Tribolium castaneum: one gene and its partners. The main gene of each other region encodes a partner of the protein of the gene in region 5 in a complex. Links are inferred from orthologs where the notes say so. Each region holds a gene or a part of one and is shown on either strand. Other genes may lie near its edges. The genes, in order: Tfb4, TfIIB, transcription initiation factor TFIID subunit 8, Taf6 and Taf7.

What was found.
Region 1: Taf7 (region 5) and Tfb4 share a complex: the UniProt entries of both Homo sapiens proteins name them as parts of the TFIID-containing RNA polymerase II pre-initiation complex. The link is inferred for Tribolium castaneum from reciprocal best matches to the Homo sapiens genes TAF7 and GTF2H3.
Region 2: Taf7 (region 5) and TfIIB share a complex: the UniProt entries of both Homo sapiens proteins name them as parts of the TFIID-containing RNA polymerase II pre-initiation complex. The link is inferred for Tribolium castaneum from reciprocal best matches to the Homo sapiens genes TAF7 and GTF2B.
Region 3: Taf7 (region 5) and transcription initiation factor TFIID subunit 8 share a complex: the UniProt entries of both Homo sapiens proteins name them as parts of the TFIID basal transcription factor complex. The link is inferred for Tribolium castaneum from reciprocal best matches to the Homo sapiens genes TAF7 and TAF8.
Region 4: Taf7 (region 5) and Taf6 share a complex: the UniProt entries of both Homo sapiens proteins name them as parts of the TFIID basal transcription factor complex. The link is inferred for Tribolium castaneum from reciprocal best matches to the Homo sapiens genes TAF7 and TAF6.

What each region holds. Positions count from the first base shown.
Region 1 is NC_087395.1:24,750,910-24,754,702, reverse strand, and holds Tfb4 (general transcription factor IIH subunit 3), read left to right. Parts: upstream 1-1,826; 5' UTR 1,827-2,002; coding exon 2,003-2,229; intron 2,230-2,276; coding exon 2,277-2,715; intron 2,716-2,851; coding exon 2,852-3,050; intron 3,051-3,099; coding exon 3,100-3,136; intron 3,137-3,185; coding exon 3,186-3,249; 3' UTR 3,250-3,269; downstream 3,270-3,793. Other genes in the region: Cdk12 (cyclin-dependent kinase 12), read left to right, coding at 874-1,159, 1,203-1,430; Zip99C (zinc transporter ZIP13 homolog), read right to left, coding at 3,642-3,793. UniProt on the Homo sapiens protein: Component of the general transcription and DNA repair factor IIH (TFIIH) core complex, which is involved in general and transcription-coupled nucleotide excision repair (NER) of damaged DNA and, when complexed to CAK, in RNA transcription by RNA polymerase II.
Region 2 is NC_087398.1:13,751,884-13,756,221, forward strand, and holds the start of TfIIB (transcription initiation factor IIB), read left to right. Parts: upstream 1-1,497; 5' UTR 1,498-1,629; coding exon 1,630-1,646; intron 1,647-1,719; coding exon 1,720-1,830; intron 1,831-1,885; coding exon 1,886-2,019; intron 2,020-4,064; coding exon 4,065-4,338. UniProt on the Homo sapiens protein: General transcription factor that plays a role in transcription initiation by RNA polymerase II (Pol II). Involved in the pre-initiation complex (PIC) formation and Pol II recruitment at promoter DNA.
Region 3 is NC_087396.1:13,179,996-13,183,555, reverse strand, and holds transcription initiation factor TFIID subunit 8, read right to left. Parts: upstream 1,967-3,560; 5' UTR 1,872-1,966; coding exon 1,733-1,871; intron 1,685-1,732; coding exon 1,398-1,684; intron 1,348-1,397; coding exon 1,197-1,347; intron 1,063-1,196; coding exon 776-1,062; 3' UTR 748-775; downstream 1-747. Other genes in the region: angiotensin-converting enzyme, read left to right, coding at 1-59, 115-398, 447-747; tou (bromodomain adjacent to zinc finger domain protein 2B), read right to left, coding at 2,763-2,919, 2,974-3,282, 3,332-3,560. UniProt on the Homo sapiens protein: The TFIID basal transcription factor complex plays a major role in the initiation of RNA polymerase II (Pol II)-dependent transcription.
Region 4 is NC_087398.1:814,749-819,236, reverse strand, and holds Taf6 (transcription initiation factor TFIID subunit 6), read right to left. Parts: upstream 3,177-4,488; 5' UTR 2,915-3,176; coding exon 2,672-2,914; intron 2,629-2,671; coding exon 2,398-2,628; intron 2,344-2,397; coding exon 1,966-2,343; intron 1,855-1,965; coding exon 1,240-1,854; intron 496-1,239; coding exon 163-495; 3' UTR 88-162; downstream 1-87. Other genes in the region: ATP-binding cassette sub-family C member 4-like, read left to right, coding at 1-58; Wdfy2 (WD repeat and FYVE domain-containing protein 2), read right to left, coding at 3,416-3,551, 3,598-3,929, 4,102-4,348, 4,399-4,488. UniProt on the Homo sapiens protein: The TFIID basal transcription factor complex plays a major role in the initiation of RNA polymerase II (Pol II)-dependent transcription.
Region 5 is NC_087394.1:13,420,452-13,423,980, reverse strand, and holds Taf7 (transcription initiation factor TFIID subunit 7), read left to right. Parts: upstream 1-1,501; 5' UTR 1,502-1,675; coding exon 1,676-2,791; 3' UTR 2,792-2,990; downstream 2,991-3,529. UniProt on the Homo sapiens protein: The TFIID basal transcription factor complex plays a major role in the initiation of RNA polymerase II (Pol II)-dependent transcription.

The DNA of each region.
Region 1 (3,793 bases), on a different chromosome or scaffold from region 5:
TTGGTAAGACTAATTCAGACTGATTGTGCATCTTGGACTGAAACTATTTTAGATCAATTTGATAAAAATTTTTGTTTGAATGTTAATTATTATAAATTATTTCCTGTAAGGGTTTTTGTATAATTTTATAGTGTATTCATTTTATCACCCTTTCCTTTTTTCTGTTGCCAAAAATCCTCATCCTCTATCCTATGTATTTTATGTGATAAAGTCATTTTTTTCAAAGGTGGGTGCTACGACCGATTTTTGGCAATTTAGGTTACAAAGCGTTTTTATATGTTTGTGTAGATTGCTGTAATTAGTTTTGGTTGCCTTTTAAAGTGCCTTCGTCTAAAATTCGAATGTAAATTTCGTAAACTGTACGAAATCAAACTTATTCCTGTACATATAAGTTAAGCCCTAATAGATACCAATTTGTTAATTATATTTGTACATATGTTTTATTTTTATTTCAGATAAAAATAAACGGGATTAATTTATTTTTTGTTTTTTTTTTCTTTTGTTTACCCTGCATGCGAGGCCTGTGGCATGTTTTAGTCCCGGAAGTAGACTCTTTTATACTAATTTTTCCGTCAGTAAACGGATTAAGACTATTCAGTAAATGATTTTAAGTAAAAATACCTAAACAAGGTGAGTCTGCTGGAAGTATTTTTACTGTATTTCAAAAATTAATAATTACACAAAAATGAGGGTTTACTTAATATGTAATTACGAGCCTGAAAAAATTTTTTTTTATATTTCTTTTGATAATTTTAAAATAACAATGTTTAAATGGACTCTGAATTTGGCAGATGAGATATCGAAAAAATAAACTTTTAGCAGATTCATTCCGTATATTTTAAACCTGGGCTATTTGATTATTTCACATTCCAGTTCGTCAAAAGTGCTAAAAATGGAGGCTTACGACGCGGCTGTGCTCTCGTACGCGCTCGCGACCGCGGCCACGAAAATCAAGCCCGGCCTGCTGGGGATAGCCCCCATGTTGCCCCCGAGAATCCCCGACGGCGAGTCGCTCACGCCCCCCACGCGTCACCAGGAAACGGACGAGAACCGCAACTATCTCTACCAGCTTCTCTGCACCGTTGAGCAGCAAATCGTCAACAAAACTGCGGTACAGTTGCCCCAACTGATGGAAATTTGCGCAACGAAGCAGGCACAGGTGCGGCAGCCCCTTTTGTACCAAAATTCACCGCTTTTTGCAGGTGGATCAACAGACCATCGCGTACTTGGAGACACTCCAAACCGAGTTGCGACAAATTTGCAAAAACAACCCCTCAGCCACGCATTTACTGCAACTGCGAATCGAGGATGAGGGGGAACACAGTCCGGGAGTGTCCTTAAATACCGACATCGTCGTGAAAAGTTTGACCGAATTGATGAAACATTTCGGGCTGGTTTTGGGGCCCAATGTTTTAAAGAAGATTTTGTAAGCCTTAATTTTGTAAAAATTTTATATTTTGCCAGTTTCGTTCACGAACCTCATGTATGTGGCAAAAATATTACATATTTTAGCAGATACTGTCAAATTGTACATTTATCGATGAGTAAATGACTATTACCTGACTGAATTGAATTTGGCGGCCCCCCGTAACCTTACTTTTGACAAAATTTGAAAATGGACAAATTATAAAGCGCAAATGCACCCCAAACATGCAACCCACACCCCTGAACCCGGAATTACTCACCTTTGCTGCACCAAACGCCCGGCGGCACTTCTACAGGAAAAATAAATTCGAATTTTGAAACCACTTTGAAAGTAAAAACTGGTCACGTGACTAGTTGTGCTTGCGGTTACAAATCCCGAACACGATTAACATAAATTGGGCAAGCAGTACAATAACTTGCGTTAAAAACCACATGATCCAATACTTCCGTGCTTAGTCATTATTAAGGAAATTGGGGAAAAAAATATTGCATAACTTTCTGGCCCCAATGCCGGGAAGTGTCTCAAGTTACGTCACTCAATTCCCATATAACCCCACTTTTAAACCGCACATAAACAATGAATAATTTGGAGATCCCGGCCGATTCGGCCCCCGAATTCACCTCAACCAGCGAGACTAGTCTCCTGGTGGTAATCGTCGACAGTAACCCCAGCCAGAAGATGCTCCGAGACAACCCCCACGTCCTCACCCACTGCATAGACTCAGTCATAGCGTTCGCCAACTCTCATTTAATGCAAAAGGCGCAAAACAAGCTCGCCGTGATGGCTTGCCACTCCAAGACCAGGTACGTGCCCCCATAACCACCCCACTGTCTTTACCCCTAAACTCCAGCGAGTTCATCTACCCGGGCCCCAACAAGCCCCTCGACGTGCGCCAAATCGACGGCCAGTACGAGGTTTTCACGGCAGTGGAGAAAACAATCAAGCAGAACTTGGCCAAATTGCTGGCCACCGAAAAATCAACTCTTGTGACGGAGTCACTGCTCGCAGGGGCGATCGCTATGGCCCTGTGTTACATTGCGCGGATCCAGCGGACGAAGCCCCCCGGGTGTGTCCTAAACAGCCGCATTTTGGTGGTGACGGGGAGCGGAGACTCCGCCTCGCAGTATATGAATTATATGAACGTTTTTTTCACGGCGCAAAAACAGGGAATTGTGATTGATGTGTGCGCCCTTGACCAACATTTGAGTCTGCTGCAGCAAGGCTGCGATATCACAGGGGGGCTGTACTTGAAAGTCCCGCAACTGCAAGGCCTGTTACAATATCTTCTCGTAAGTTTTGTTTTTTTTTACTTAATTTCCTCATTTTTGCGATTTTTTATTTGAAATAATAAATAATTCTATTAAATGTTTGCTAAATGTTCGCATTTTAAGAAATAAATCACCAGATTTGGTGATATTTTACTAGACGTGGAAACACTGGCGTGTGAAAAATCCATTGCCAGCGTTGCCAACCTTGAATTATTTCCAGTGGGTGTTTTTGCCTGAGCCGCCTATTCGGCAAAAATTGGTGCTTCCGCCCCCTGTCAAGGTTGACTACAGGGCGGCTTGTTTCTGCCACCGGGAGTTAATTGATATAGGTTACGTCTGTTCGGTGTGTTTGTCAAGTGAGTGAAGTGGGCCGGTTTAAGCCCCAGCTAATGATTTTTGTTACAGTTTTCTGCAAGTTTAGCCCGATTTGTACGACTTGTCAGTATGTTTTTTCAAAATTGTGTTATTCGTGGACTAATTTTTTTTTCCAGTACTGTCTTCAAAATCCCAGGACCGTTAGCTGTGAAGCCGAAAAAGCGGAAAATCAAGTTGTAATAAAAATTTTTTTTGTTGAATTTGTTTTATTATTACCCTTGATAATGATAAATGCGCATTGTTTTGATTGGAATGAGGTCAGACGGGTCTGGTATTAATAGTTTCTAGGTCGTTTCTTGCTCTTTATTTACAATATATCATCGTAGTCATGTTTTATTTTGATATAAAATATATAAGAGCACTTTAAGTACTACAGAATAATAAAATATATTGTGTTGAAAAAATGTTAATATCACAAAAATAGTTCAGTCTGATTACCATCAGACGATGCTAACAACTGGAAAAATATGGTTTTCGCTTAATGCCCTACCTAAAGAAAACAAAAATTACAACTAATACTGTAATTTACAACAAAACTATCAACAATATGGCAACTGAATTCTTATCACTTATCACTCAACTAAAGTCGTCACGATGGCCATGACACTGATCCCTGCAATAAGGGCGAGGATCTGCTTGAGTGACTCCCGGGGGTCCTCCTCTTTGAGTAAATCCGGGAGGACCGTGACCAGCGCGATGTGGAGGAACGTCCCGGCCGTGAAGG
Region 2 (4,338 bases), on a different chromosome or scaffold from region 5:
CTGTTAAATTATGTTTCCAGATATCGCCAAACAAGCCAGTTTGTTAAAAAAACACTTTACTTCAAAGATCTCTTGACGATTTAGAAAATCACGAAACAAACTCTAAGGACCGGTTTACAGAAAGAAGTGTCATTAGTTTAATTCGCAATTAACTGCGTGATTAACGTGACCATATTGAACAAATGTGATTGGTCCATTCGCGTTATTATAACATTTAAATACGAAATAAATTTTAACAAAGCTTTGTATCTATAAATCAATATTAATATTGTATTTTTCAGTAATTAATAATTACAATATCTACTGAGAGCAAAAGTATAAAACCAAGCCAAAACTATATACCTTACTAAAAATACGACCAATTAGTATAAAGATGGGATGTTTTATTTGTAGCCTCCCATAAAAAGGAGATTTTTTTTACTTTTTAATATAATCTCCTTGTAGTTATTAGCACTTATAGTCAATTGATGTTTCGAAATCTTTATACTATCCTTGTGGACCGATTCTTGTAACTCTTCAAAAAAACTTTTTTTAGCTGTAATTTCTTCAAACTTTGTTTTATACTTATTTCCAGTGTAATATTTTTTAAGTCCAGTAATAGACTGAAGCTAAATTGTTATACATTGGCGCATAAAATCCATTGGATTGCGTTAAAATAGCTCCAAGCATTGAAAATATCTGATTTTTTTCGGTGAGCTTTTGTGCTCAAAGAAGGAGCAATATGCCACCCATTTTGCCAATTTTTTCTCATACTTAAAAACTGATAAAAGATATGATGTTTGTGTTTTAAAATCCTCAAGGTTTGAACTATTTTATACAACTTTCATTTGTAATCTTCCAATACCGTTCTTTGGATTTTTCTGACTATTTCTGCAGGAGAAGCACTTTTCAACTTTTTTCGACGTGGTGTTTCCTAAGGCCTGTACCTGTATGGCTCAATTGAAACTTTGCAATACAGTTTTAACTATGCTAATGTAGAACCTAACACATTTTAAAAATATTTCTTTACAGTTCGAAACTCAGGTTTCACCATTTCTTAAAAAATCGAAAACTTAGGGCAGCCAATACAGAATTTGATACAAGCTTAGTCACTCTTCGAAAGGATAAAACTACATAAAAATATAATAATTAATGAAAAAAAGTCAACTGCTTTCTATAAGAGACCGCGAATTAGTCATCACATTCTAATCTATAATTTCATTCTAAAATAAATTATTAAATTTGCGTTCCGAGCTCATTACGAAGGTTTTTTGAGCTTGGTCGAAGTAGTTGAAAAAAAATATTGCCAAAACTTCAACTTAAAAATCTAACTCGAGAAGAACTGTATGTTGTGAAAAAATACACAAACAATGTTTTGTCAGTTGGATGTGACTGTCTTACCCAAGAGATGGTTCCGATTTCCCGAACGTTTTAAATCAGCTTATATTGCTTTGAAATTGGCGCCAGTTTATTACTTTTGAGGTCGCTACTGTACGTTCTTAACAGAAATCTGCTTTACCAATAAACTGGAAGTCGAATGACTGAAACCTGTTTTATCGGTACAGTGTCGATTAACTATCACACTTGTCAAAACTTGAAAATTGTCATAATAACAATAAATAGAGAAGAAATAGTGCAAAATTGTACAAGATGGCGAGTAGTTCAAGGTATTTTAGCATAAATAACTTGTTACGATTCCAATTTCAATAATAATGATGTTAACCTCAAATAATATTTCAGGTATGACACGAATAAGGTTTGTTGTAATTCTCATCCAGATGCCCCCCTTATTGAAGATTACAGAGCAGGCGATCAGATTTGCTCCGAATGCGGTTTAGTAGTAGGTGACAGGTAATATTCAAATCAATAAAACGCATCATAAGTTTATTTGCTTGCATCATTGTAGAGTAATAGACGTTGGATCTGAATGGAGAACCTTCAGCAACGAAAAATCGGGGGTCGATCCTTCTCGTGTTGGTGGCCCCGAGAACCCCCTTCTTAACGGCTCAGACCTGACCACAATGATAGGCCCCGGTCGAGGTTTGTTTTATTTAAATATTCCACTCAAATAAGCCTTTAAATTAAAATGTTAGTGAAAAGCTTACCTTTTTGAAATAAGTTACTGTCTGTGCTACTGTGAAGTATTTCAAAACGTTTTGTTTGAATCACGAGAAGGTATTGAAAAAACGAATAAACGAATAAAATGTTTCGTAATGATTGTAAAAAATCGATGACTTGGAAAAAAGTTTTTAATAAGAATTGTAAAGCATAAAATTCTATATATTAATATTCTGCCGAATTTTTTGACATTATTCAAATAAACAGAGTTTAGGGTGGTTGCAATAAATATAAAGGGATGATCTGTACAATTTTAAAAAGTGACTATAAACATTTGATTATTTTGCAAAATTTTCTGCTGCGTTGTAATCCGAAGGTCGTTTTTGTATTGGAAATTGTTTTCATTATGAAAAAGACGTTTTAGCGAAAAAATTACACAAACCTAAAACTGGACAAATCTTGAGTTTACAACCTCGTGTCTTCCTTTTTGATAAAGCTAGAATTTTTTTTCACAAAATTTTCAATTAATGTGGATGTTTACGTAGTTACTTAGTTGAATATTTATAAAGGGAACCCGAAAAAAATACATTTTCTTGTAACGTTGCATATTTGTGTATCGAAATTTTTGAGATGCAAGAAAGTTTTTTTGTTGTATAAGACAAACCTCTATTGAATAGAAATGGAATGAAGCTATTCCAGTAATATTTAGACAACTCTTGATTATTAACTGGCAATATTGCTGACCAGGATACTTGCCTCTTGTGATCGGTTTGAAGTTTAAAAAAATTGGGAAAATTTTGATTTTTAACTGTTAAAATTAAACAAGCCCCCTCTAATAACCCGAACGGTATTTATTGTACCTACAATCCGAACGTTTGAATTTCGTAATCCGAAATACCACATGTTGATTTTAATTCTTGATAGTTGTTTGCAATACATTTTAATTTTGTATTTTTTTATTTTGAAACACTTAACGGTGTTTATAGCCACTGAGTATAATTTTTGTGGTAGGGATATGTATTTGCATGGTTATTTGGTTATGTAAGGTAACTGTAAACCGAACGCGTGTTGGGATTATTGATATTATTTGCAATCTGCAAATTTTCTGTTCGAATTATTCAAACATTACTGTACTTCATATCAGCTTTTGGTCACGAATCATTTCGATATCTGTAATAGTTTTTGAAATATTGGGAAAAATCCACTAATAGAGGGAGCACCCTTTTCAGAGTGTGTAGGGTAGGTTTCTTACGAAGTACTTATCAATACATGTTTATAGGAAACGTTTGTCTTAAAATTGAATGTTCTATCATCTGTTTAAATTCGTAACAATAAAAACGGAACACTCTGTATAAATGTTGCTCTTATTTCTTACGATGGGAAACACATCCAATAATTTTTAATTTCTACTGGCTAATTTTGTCATTGTTAAAGTCTTTCAATAAAGTAAAACCTGTGTGAATAACTTTTAAAGTTATTTGCATGCACAAGATTTTTTTACCCCATATGTGTAAACAAAAAGTAAATTAATTAGAAGTTGTAACATATTACCTTGTTGTTCGTTTTCGTGGTTTCAAAAGATTCACCTTTAACTTCAAAGATAATTGTTGGAATTAGTGCACTTTAAATTAACAGAATTGTATAATGATTGCTCAACGAAAAAAATGTGAGGTCTTTTCTGTGTCCCGTCCGTCATCAATTTGTGTTTCTTTTTCCTGTCCATATTTGAATTTTTACAAATGTGGCTCCTATGTAGGTTGCAAACCGTTTAACTGGTACTAAGTTCCTATAAATAAAAATTCACTTTTACTGATACTGTTCATAAAAACTGAAAATGAAATAGAAACCATGTGAAGTGTCCCGTCCGTTAAAATGGAATGGCTGCTAAAACATACTTTGTTTTTGATTTTCAAAACGTTTTTAACTTATATGTATAGAAAGATGCAAGCTTTTTCCCAAAATTTTGATTTATTTATTTTGACTGGACAACAAAACTTATCACAGTTTGTCTTTTAATTTTTTTCCAGGGGACGCCTCCTTTGATAGTTTCGGTGTCGCGCGCTACCAGAACCGTAAAACCATGAGCAGTTCCGACCGCGCTTTGATCAACGCTTTTCGTGAAATCAACGGAATGGCGGATCGCATTAATCTTCCAAGGACTATAGTAGACCGTGCTAATAACTTGTTCAAACAAGTGCATGATGGACGTAACTTGAAAGGACGCTCTAACGACGCCATAGCGTCGGCGTGTCTTTACATAGCTTGTCGGCAAGAGGGCGTCCCTCGAACGTTCAAAGAAAT
Region 3 (3,560 bases), on a different chromosome or scaffold from region 5:
TGATGCTGATGGCTTTGAAAAAAGTCGCGTTTGCCCCGTTTGCGTATTTAGTGGACGCAGTAAGTGCCAATTTTCCCTTTCACAGTTAAATAATTAAAAAAATAATTGTTCCAGTGGCGTTATGAAATTTTTCAAAACGGGGTGCAAAACATGAACGCAGTTTGGTGGGAATTGCGCCTGCGCTACCAGGGATTAATCCCCCCAATCCCTCGCACTGAAAACCACTTCGACGCCGCTGCAAAACGCCACATTCCCGCCGATATTCCGTACATGAAATATTACGTCGCGCTTTTGCTCGAATTCCAAATTCACAGCTCGATGTGTTTTGCTTCAGGGCATGTGGGGCCGTTGCATAATTGCGATATTTACCGGTCGAGGGAAGCCGGACGCGTTTTATCGTAATGACTGTTCAATACTTGTAATAAAAATTAATTAGATATTTTTAGGGACTTGCTAAAAGTCGGGAAGGCCAGACATTGGAAAGAAGTGATAAAAATGTTAACTAGAGGACAGTCGGATCGCCTGTCTGCTGAAGCAATGCTTCAGTACTTCCAGCCCTTGATGTTGTGGCTCAAAGTACAAAATCGGAATGAAAGTGTGGTCGGATGGATGACAAGTTTGGAAGAGGAGGCTTTGTTCCAGCCATTCTTGTTTGCAACAAGCAACAAAATTGTGTTTGATTCAAATCTTGTTATATTCATTTCTATAACTCCGATTCTTATAAATAACTACATGTTGTATAAATAAAAAATTTAAACTTATAATTTAGTCTTACTTATGACACCTCCATTTCGTCCTTTTTAGGCAGCTTCGTTGCGGCCAAATACGGATTATCAATGTACCCATTTGGGTTTGTGTTTTCTTCACTTTTTGTGGAATCATTTAGTGTTTCTTCAGTCTCTTCTTCTTCTTTATTTTCAGCTTTTTCTTTCGCTTTTTGTTCTTTTGATTGTTGCATCATTTGACTTTTGTGGTCATATTCGAGGTCTTCAGGATCAAAAATTTGATCCTGGGGCAGGAGAGCGCTCAAGTAAGGGGGGTACGCAGGCTTACAAGCTATCACTAAAATATTTCAATTGCTATAGTGGGTATAAAACAAAAACGTAGTCAAGAGTGCTCTGCAACCAATTTTTTCCAGAGCACTATTGACCACCACTCACGAAATAAAAATTCCAAATAAAAAACGGACCACTTACGTGGAAAAATATTCGCCTCATCTGTGTCAAACAAATTATGTGTGGGGTTAGTCTTGGCAAGAAACTTCGTTAACGCCTTTTCTATGTCTTTTTTCTGAACTGCCGCTTTTTCTCTCACTGATTCGTAATCAATAATTGGTTGTTTGTGTGTCTGTAATAGAACAATAAAATATTTGACGCGCCCCAACAGCACAAACCTACAGGAGTGCGAACGTAGGCGTGGGGGTCCGGAAACTGGGGTAAATGCTGAGGGATGTAAGGGGGTAAAGGGTGCTTCGAGCCAGCTGGTAACATATTTAGCTGCTTCTGGGGCTGCTGTGGTTGTAGTGGGGGTAAAACCGAATGCTTCATGCCTTTTGTGTACACCATCAAGTCGTTGAAATTGTGCCCCATTTCCACAAATGCTAAAATCACGTCGGCCACCACGGGCTCCGAACGGCCCGACAACTCGCAGTAGCTTTTCGAAAGTGCCCCCACTTCGGTTAGGACTGCAAGAAAGTGTGCTTATTTCGCGAAAAAAGGGTTGAGGGGCTTACAGCACTGGATCATTTCTGTTAAAGTACCGAGGCTTTCTTTGTCGGCCGTATCGAAACCAGACTCCATTAGAATGCTGCAGACTGACGCTGCTAACATTTTTCGGTAAACGTTTACTTGCTGGGTGGTGGTTTGTTCCATTTTTTAAAGTTTAAAGCAAAGTTTGTTGTTATTTACGTTCCGAAAAGTTAAGGTTATAATAACGTTTGACAAATGACAAGCTTGTGTTTCTGACCGAATCACCAAAGAGCCGAAATTTAAACATCCATACGCGGGAATTCCAAAAATTTCCAACGTGTGGTTGGAAAACAGGGTAGTAGCGGTTGGAGAGAAATGAAAAAAGGCGACATTTATAAGTAAATATAATTAATATAAATATCTTACATTAAAATACATAACCTAGTTCTATGAGTTGCAGTTTAGCGCTGCAGAGAACTAGCCTACCAAACACATTATTTATTAATACATCCTTTCCTTTGAGAACTATGTTCAGCTTACATAAAAACATTTTGTAATAGGCTAGAGAGACATTTAATTTAATGTTGAGCGATGCAATTATGTGAAGAAATTTCTTTACATTTTATACAAACTCTTACTCTAATTTATTCACTGTAACTGAACCAGACTTCAAGTCGGGAAACTGAAATTGAGTTAGAAAAATAAATAAATAGAAACCACTGAACATTTAATGAACAAAATAGTTATCCTAAATAAATAATTAAATAAAAAAATACACAATTATCAAAAATACAAATTAATACAAATTGAGAAACCAACTAAAAATCACATTCTTGTTTAAGTCAATTCATTAAGTGATGCGCAAATCCAAGACTTTAATTGCATTCAAATAATTACAATTTCCGAACGATAAAAAGCTGAAGTATACATTTTTAAAGTCAATATCACACACTGGAAATACCTGTACTGTTTTTCTGAAAAAATTAGTTTGTATTCACACCTCATCGCAATTTAAACACTGTTTTCCGGGGGCCGCATTCTTCGATGGTAAGGTCTTTTGGGATAAAGTAGTCCTCAACTATTTGAAATACTCAGCTCGTTCCACCGAGCTTCGAAAAACTGGCGCATGCAGTGGCCTGCCTTTCCCACAGGACTGTCGTCCTCGTTGAACACTTCGCAGTTGTTGAAAATCTGTCTCACGTCCAGAACGAACTCCTCTTTGGATTTATAACTAGAAAAACGCCCAAATAACTCACACCATCAATTTTCAAGTCAAAACACCAACCTCACATCGTACAGTTTCTTCTTGATCGTCGACAAATCCATCGGCGTTTTGATGATTTTTTTGTAAGTGGGAAACTGCTTCGTATTCACCGGAAGCAAAAAGGGCCACGCGTCATCATGGCACTCCAAATCCTCCAGAATCGTCTTGCACGGCGCGAGTTCTTTGAGTAGTTTCTTCGAGATGCGGTCCTTCTTGCACGTTTGCGTGGACGGAGAGCCTGCGTTGCCGAGACTCGAGTTAGAGACGTCGCTTTGGTTGCAATTCGTTGCTTCTTCGTTCGTCGTAACGGAACTATGAGACGGTGCGGGACTGGAGACGCGACATGTTAATAAATAAAAAACGAAAAATTGAGAGGTACCTAGAAGGAGGATGGTCGGACAGTTCGCTATCTTTGCTAGACTTTGCGTGGTTTTTACGCATCGTCTTCTTCTGAGGCTTTTTCGATATGCATTTGGAACAGTACCATTTGCCGCGAGGAACTTTGTGCATGATGGGGTGAATGCAGTCGGTGTGGTAGGCGCGAGGACACAGTTCGCATAAAATCAGCCGAGTGCCAGACGTCGACGATTTCTTGCCGCAAACGATGC
Region 4 (4,488 bases), on a different chromosome or scaffold from region 5:
TATGGCCCTCGATGCATTTCTCAATAAGCAGTCAATTCCAAGCGCCAAGGAACAATAATGTGTAAGATAGGCAAATATAAAAATATATTCCTTCCTCGTAGTTTTATTTCCAAACATGATAATACATTAGTTTCATTTACAAAATCACTTACTCTACGTTTATTACATTAAATGTGACAAATCGTCGACAGTTGGAGGCTGCATCTGATCCGCTTTTTTCAATTGGCTTTGTTGAAACGTACTTTTCTGAACCACTGCCACCGGTGGTTGATTTCCTTGGATTAACTTTTGTGTCGTAATCATTTTTTGCTGACTGATTGTGCTCGTGTTTGAGACAAATTTAACGACTGTGTTTTGTTGCGATTGAGAGGATGGTTGAACGGAACCTCCCGGGGTTGGAGGACGTTGTGTCACAAATAAGATTTTTTGGTTGTTTATCTGGTTAGCGACTCGCCCTGATTGGTTCATTACGATCGTGCGCTGAGGGCCGGTGTTCTGCGGCAATAAAAAACCAACTGCACATCCACTTTCACGTTTATTTTATTAAACACCCCAAGTAATTATAATTACTGGAATTTTGGTGGGTTTCTTGGAATTGGAATTTAATTTTTTCGTTCATAAAAATAACATTTCTTGAACAGTTCTTTTACCGGCTTCCAAAAACTGCTAAATATTTATTGCAAACATATACAGTAATATGTTTAATAATATAATACAGTAAAACCTCTACAACCTACTTTAATGGCTAAAAAATAGCTAAAACATTTCTAATTTGTAAAACATTTTATTAATTCAAAAAAATTTGTAATAAATATTTAGCGATTTTTAATAGTGGAATCGCTAAATGAAGTATTCAAATTATGTTAATTGTTAATTTTATGACCGAAAAGATTTATGCCAGAGGTTAAGGTGCGGTTAGACGTCGTTTTTTCTACGGTTTTGTACGTACGGGTATGAACGAATTGGGATGCCACTTATTTTGGTCCTGGGTGTACACTTTTTTGGAACTTAATCAAAATCGCTTGGACGAATAAGGATTATTAAAATTTCCTTTGGGATTTATGGAATTGTTTTTAGAATTAGTGCAAATCTATTTGGAATCAGAATATTGATAATAGATATTGCGTTGAATTTCTTATAGCAACGAAAACAAAAAAAAATTAGGTGGGAATTACAGGAATTATTGGGATTTCAGGTCAATCGTTTGAAGCACATTTTGAAACTTTTTAATGCACTTACCTGTTGTATAATCTGGCAGGGCTGGCTCACAGTCCTCGTAATAGTGGCCCCCACGTTCGTCAACGACGTCGAAATATTGCAGGCCGTTGTTGTCGAAGGCGTCGGTTGTGTCCTTGCTTTCACCACAGCTGCGTGTAACGCGGGCCCCAAATACCCAAACTCTTGCTTATACTCCTCTACATAATCAGGTGGATTTTTCAAATTTTTCAATACGGGAGCCACAACTTTAATTAGCAATTGCTTAATATGTTCCGAGGCGATTTTATCAATATTGGAAGTAGTTGGTCCTTGAAGGTGCATTTCAATTCGGGCTCCGATTGATTTTAATCGCGGTAATATAAAAATTCTGATTACTTCCGCCCCTAGCTCTGAAAGCCCCTCAAGGGCACCGTAAAGGGACGAAAGTGGGACTTTATCGCCCTGTTGGAGCGCATTTGTAAACATTCGGGTAATTCTGGTCTGGATGTTGTTCGTGCTAGTGTTGAAGTTTTTACAAATTTGGGACATGAGACGTGAGGCGAAGTCGCGAAGCGCCCAATGGTTGTCCAGCTCGGGGCGCATGCACAGTTGTTTCGAGACAATACAGGTTGTTACCGACGGAATTAATTCGTGTAACTGTAATTAAACAACAAATTATAGCTACTTATACGAACTTTTAAAAATCAAGCAAAACATAATTTTGTAAAATGAGCGAAAAAATGTTTTCTTGGTCCATACTATACTTACATATTTTTCGAGGTACAACGATTGGTTGTCTAAGAGAGCCTTAACCATCCTCATTAGATAAATAAGAAGCGCTAAATTATTTTGTACAACGTTCACCCTGACCCCCTCTATGATAAAAGTGCACATGCGGGGCAACATTTCGTGAAGCCCTGGATCGGAGGCTAGACTTTGTAAAGCCTCGGCCCTCCGTGCCTCATCTGACCCCACACAAGCCTCGGTAATTTCCTTATAATACAACTGTTGCTCCACTGATAATTCATGCGTGGCCAATTGTTTAATTTGCACAGTTTCCACATTTCGTAATTTCTGTTTTCCAGTTGTGGGTTTCCCTGATGTTTCCTTGTTTGGTTTTTTATTAATAGGATCAACCGACTCCAACTACAACCCAAACCAATAAAAACGAACCAGTGGCGATAACAACGCAAACTTTACTTTTTGTATGTTTTTGGCCACCGGTGGCGGATTTTCGGGTATTGTGGGCTGCACCCCATCGATGCACAACCAATGGGACCTCAAAGACACCTCAAGTGGTGCTTTGGCGTTCAAATTTTGCAACAAATCGTTCAAAACCACCTCCTTCTCCTCAATAAAATGAAGCTCACGTCCGCCGCCTGATGCAAAACGGAACGGGAGGCCTTCGGCCGATTGGAAACCGTACTGGGGCTGTAAGACACAATGAGGTTAAATAACCAAAAAGCCCACATACCTCCAAGTTTTTGGCTTTGAGGGCTGCGTCAATGTCGCTCTGCATCAGTTTTGTTCGTTTGGCATGGTGGACGAACTTCGCAGCGTCTTGAATGATGTGTTTCAGTTTAAATGAGATGTCTTCAGCTAGTTCCTTTGCAGCGTCGTCGGGCAAATTTCCAATTCCGATGCTTTCGGCTATTACCTTCATAGATTCGACGGATAAATTCGTTCCGTATAAGTCATTTTCAGCGTTTTTGGACATTTTTCAAGGCAAAAAGGGGGCCAAAAATTGGCATATGCGCTTGTTTTGTTTACCAGTGGTGCCAACTCGAGTGGCACGCACGACGAAAACACCAACACATGCCGCATAACAACAACATTAAAGAACCAAAGTATTAAAGGATCATGAAGAAGAGTGCACTTAATTGATTTAATCGTGTGGGGGAGAAAAAATCACAACGAACAATTGTTTGTTCGAAAAAAACTGACAACAATCGGACCGAAAGCAGGTTCCTGTAAATTTGACGTCACCACAGATTACCATCCGTTCATGGAATCATGTCACTTGTTCGCACACTTGGGTTCAAAAATAGCACAAATGAGGCGCAATTCTGTGATTATAATAGATTTATTTTCAATAGAACTTATAGAATATAAATATAACATTAATAATATTTAAATTTTACATAATGTAATAAATCATAGCACATTAATTAATTGAGTGTGAATCACATTCCAGCGTTAGTAACTAAACCAGTCGGATTCAAAGCAAAGCGGAAATGTCCCAAATTTTGATTAGCCGGTCCTGTCCGACTGTTACCAATTTTTTGCGAGTCTCGTCCAATCCCATCGCTGTAATACTATGCTTAGCATCATGGAATGTGGCTAAAGACACCCTCCTGTAAAAAACTTTAGCAAGACATAACTTCACCACTTGCAACTCACTCTCTATCCCTTAACAAGTGGTGACAAGGGTCACAGACACGCACTGCGAACTCGAAACCCATCGCTGGAATTGTTAATCTACCTGTGGAACATTTCTCGCAAACTGCTTTCCCGCAATGTCTGCAGTGGTGTTGCCGTAAACCCAACTGTCGCTGGTCCATCATGGCTCGGAAGTTCCAAAAGAACGGTCTTCCACACAACTGACATAAATCGGACTCGATCCACTCGGGAGTCTCCTGACGCGTTTGGTTCATGTCCCAGAAGACCAGCACCCCGTCCTCGCCCGCGCTGACCAATTGTTTGGTCGAGTTAAGGTAGCACAAAGCAGAGACCTGTAATATCACATTCACTTGTTTCCACAATTTTGGTAATTTTTGGCACTGTTGCCAATTTAATTTCAAATGCCGATCGCCAACAAAAAACAAACCTTGACCTACGTAACCAATAAACAATTATCTTTGCTTCGGAAAAAATCCAACTGCGGTTGTAATAAACAATGTTTACCTTGTTGTGGTGACCTTGCAGCTCGTAGGCGTTGCCCTGTTGCCCCCCTATGTCCCAAACGATAACAGTTTGGTCGTAGGAGCCACTAAATAACATCTGCCGCTCGCTGTCCCAAGCCAGTGACCTAACAGAGCCCGAGTGCCCCTTCAAAGTTGTGATAACACTAGGGCCCGCATTATCCAATTTTAACATAGTTATTTGACCAGAATAATCCCCAACAAACGCATGTTTGGTTTGTGCATCAAATCTGCAAAAATTAAAGACATGACTCGAAAATTTTCCGCAAAAAATTAGTACTGTAGAGAGGTGCACCAGGCCTCAGCCGTGTAAGTCCCAATGTTGCGGCCGGTTTGTGTGCAATTGTACGAAAACACTTTATCCCTGCTC
Region 5 (3,529 bases):
GCAAAGGGTATTTGCAAAATTACCTACACATGTATGGAGAAATAAGTTCTGATGGTAATAATTTTCGTAAAATACTAAAATATTTAAAACTATGCAATGTTTGCCTTTACTTTAAATTTTTGAATTACAGTTAAAAACTATTATTACTTTTTAAAAATGGGAAAAAATCGAAAATGCAATATATTACTACTTTTTTATAGTGGTAGCTGAGAATCTAATCTCTATTATTACTATTATTAGTGCCTGTCTAGTTTAAACATTAATCTATATTTTTCATTTAAATTTCGTAAAGTAGAATGGATTCACAATATTAGAAGTTGAGCAAAAAAATCTTGAATGAATCTTGATCATAATTATGTAAAAAAAAACATATATGTATTTTAACTATTTACGTAAACATTAATCTGCTTTTTAGTAATGTAATATCTATTCCGGTTTTTGTCTCTCAAAGTTAGTTGTTATTAATTTATTATTCATGCACTTCAATAACTTAATAGCTAATGTAATTTGGAGTTCCAGTGACAGATACAGATCTAATAATAATAATTAACAACTTGGTATTTTACATTTTTATAAACGTTATTTAAAAAAAATATTCAGTAAATTGCTTTATTGGCATTTTATTGAGTTGGAATGACAAGTATCTAATCTAGGTACAAAAAAATCAAAAAACATCTCATTGTTTTTTGTTGGTTTAAGATCATTGTTTGATGTATTATGTTTATTTGAATGTTTTTAAGATGTACAACTTATAATAAATAATTGATGCTGATTATATACAAGAGTTATTAATATTATACAAGACGATAAAAAGATTGTTTATGTACAAGTGGAAAAGTTTAGTTTAAGGGTGACGAAGTCACGAGTAAACTTATTCCATAAATTACAACAGCGCATTTGAATTTTCCGGAGTGAGAAATAAAGCACAAATTGAGAGTTTCGGTAAAGGAAAAGAATTCTGTGTTAAACTAAATCCCAGCGACACGTTTCGAGCTAAGAAAGCCAACCAGAAACTCCAAAAATTACAAATGCGCTGTTGCAAAATTCTATTATGAATTGAAATGAGATATAGAAAAAATGCATTTTCAAATAAATTAAATCAAACAAAACAAAGTTTTTCGGATTTTTATAGACGCCAATCCGAAACTTATTCAGAATCCGAAATCAAGTAACTAAAATTAATATTGAACAGAACACGCCACTTTCTAGCCCTCAGTGAAATAACAAAATTTTTAATTCCAAAATATTTAACGACTTGGCCATTATTTTGTAAAATCATACTGTTAGGTAAAAAGTTATTTACTGTCCCGCCAAATTCAATGTGGCCACTTACAAACAATTAAAGAAACACTGTCAGACAATAAATATTTCAAATATTTCAAGAAAAAACAGATAAATGATAAATAACCTACGCCACTGACTTAAAGTCTTAGCATGCAGCGCCACCAGTACTCCACTTCCCCCAACCAACAGATACACCCACGGCCGATAAATCAGAAAACCACTTAGCATACCTAACCTCCACAACTCACAAACATAACCTCAACCGTCAACAAATAAAAGTTTGTCATTTTTAGCAATTAAAATATGGTGTTGTTACATTTACATTAAGTTTAAAATTCGTGTCAAATCCACTTTTGTATTAATTTAAGCCCCAATTATTGAAAAAAAAAAAATGTACAAAGGGGGCCACGAACCCGATTCACCTGCAGAACTCGAATGCCAGTTCATTTTACGTCTACCGGAAGAACCAGCCCGTGTCCTTCGCGAAGCCATCCGAAACAACAGCACCCTCAAAGACAGGGTGGCCATCAAAATAGAAAATGACATGCGACATGGTGAAGTCCGAATCGACCACTGGCTTTTACCAGCTAAAGTTATGGACCTTCCCACTATTATCGAGTCCCTTAAAACTATTGATTCGAAAGGTTTCTACAAAACAGCCGATATTTGCCAAATGCTCATATGTAAGGAAGAGGACGACCAAACGACTACTGATGAAGAGTCCCCACAAAAGTCGAAACGTAAAGACCCCAACAAAGTGGAGAAAAAATATCTGATGCCACACGGGATCACACCACCGACGAAAAACGTAAGGAAGCGACGATTCCGCAAGACTTTGAAGAAGAAATACGTGGAAGCCCCCGAAATAGAGAAGGAAGTCAAAAGATTGTTAAGGATAGACAATGATGCAGTTAGTGTTAAATGGGAGGTTATCAACGAAGACGACGAAAACAAAGTCAACAAAGGCACCGTGGTGAAGAAGGAACCTGCAGAAGCCCCCAATCAGAACGTGGCCGAACATGATATTTTCGGGGGGGCTGTGAGTGACTCAGAGGAGGAGGACGCCCACCTTAACGTATTGGAACTGGACGACAATAGTCAGAACTCGGCCGAAGACAGCCACCTGACTGACTCCAACTCAATGATGATCAATACCGCAAACTCAAAATTGTTGACAGAATTCACCAGTGATATGTTCAACGAAATGCAAAATTCCCCCTCTTTGATGCAAGAAATGGACTATTATCAGCAGTCATCCAGCAATATTTCCTACACAGAGCAGAATTTGAGTAAGAGTAATATTTTGGCGAGGCTTGAAGAGCTGCAGTTGGAGTTGGATAATTTGAAAATGAGGAGGCAACACCAGGAAATGGAAATTGAAAATATTGAGAATTTGGCGCTGAGACAACGCTTTCAGAATATTTTGGATAGGCTTCTGCAGGAGCAAATCGAGAAGGAACAGGAGAAATACGGGTTGGAGGAGCTTCTGAAGCAGCACCCAGAGTAGTATTGGAGTGGTTAAAAAATCGTATTTTGTAATTTTAGGTCCAAAAAGGGGTTATAGTGAAGTGTTTCTTGTAAGCGTATCAATGTTAGATTAATTAAAAAATCTGTTTTATTCGATTTTAATTGTGTAAATTTCTATAGATAATTATTTTTTATGAATAGGGCACAATTTAGAAAATAAACAACTTTATCGGCAAAAACTATACTTATTTTTAGTTTGTATTAGTCTCCATCATCAAGTCTATTTCAGGGACACTCATTATATCCCATTTCAGTTCATAGTAGAATTGCAACAGCGCATTTGATTTTTTGGAGTGAAAATAAAGCACAAATTGAGAATTTCTGTATAAGAAAAAAAATTCTGAGTTAAACCAAATTCCAGCGCCACACTTTGAGCTAAGAAAACCTAGCAGAAGCTCTCAATTTATGCTCCATTTCACTCAAAAAATTGCAAATGCGTTGTTGCAAAATTCTACTACGATCTGAAATGAGATATACATTTTTTTATTGCAAATCATAAAGTAAAATAACACGTTTCCTTATTTACCAGTATATAACAAGAAAATAAGTAAATTATTTAATAAATCATACTAATGCTCATTGCATTTTTAATCTGAGTTCAGCCTCAATTATAAAGACTCGTAAAGAAAAACTATCAATATTTATTTCAAAATTATAAAAAAAAACGGCAATAGTGTATTTAATTTTTTTTGGGTCAAATAGGTGACAAATTAACACT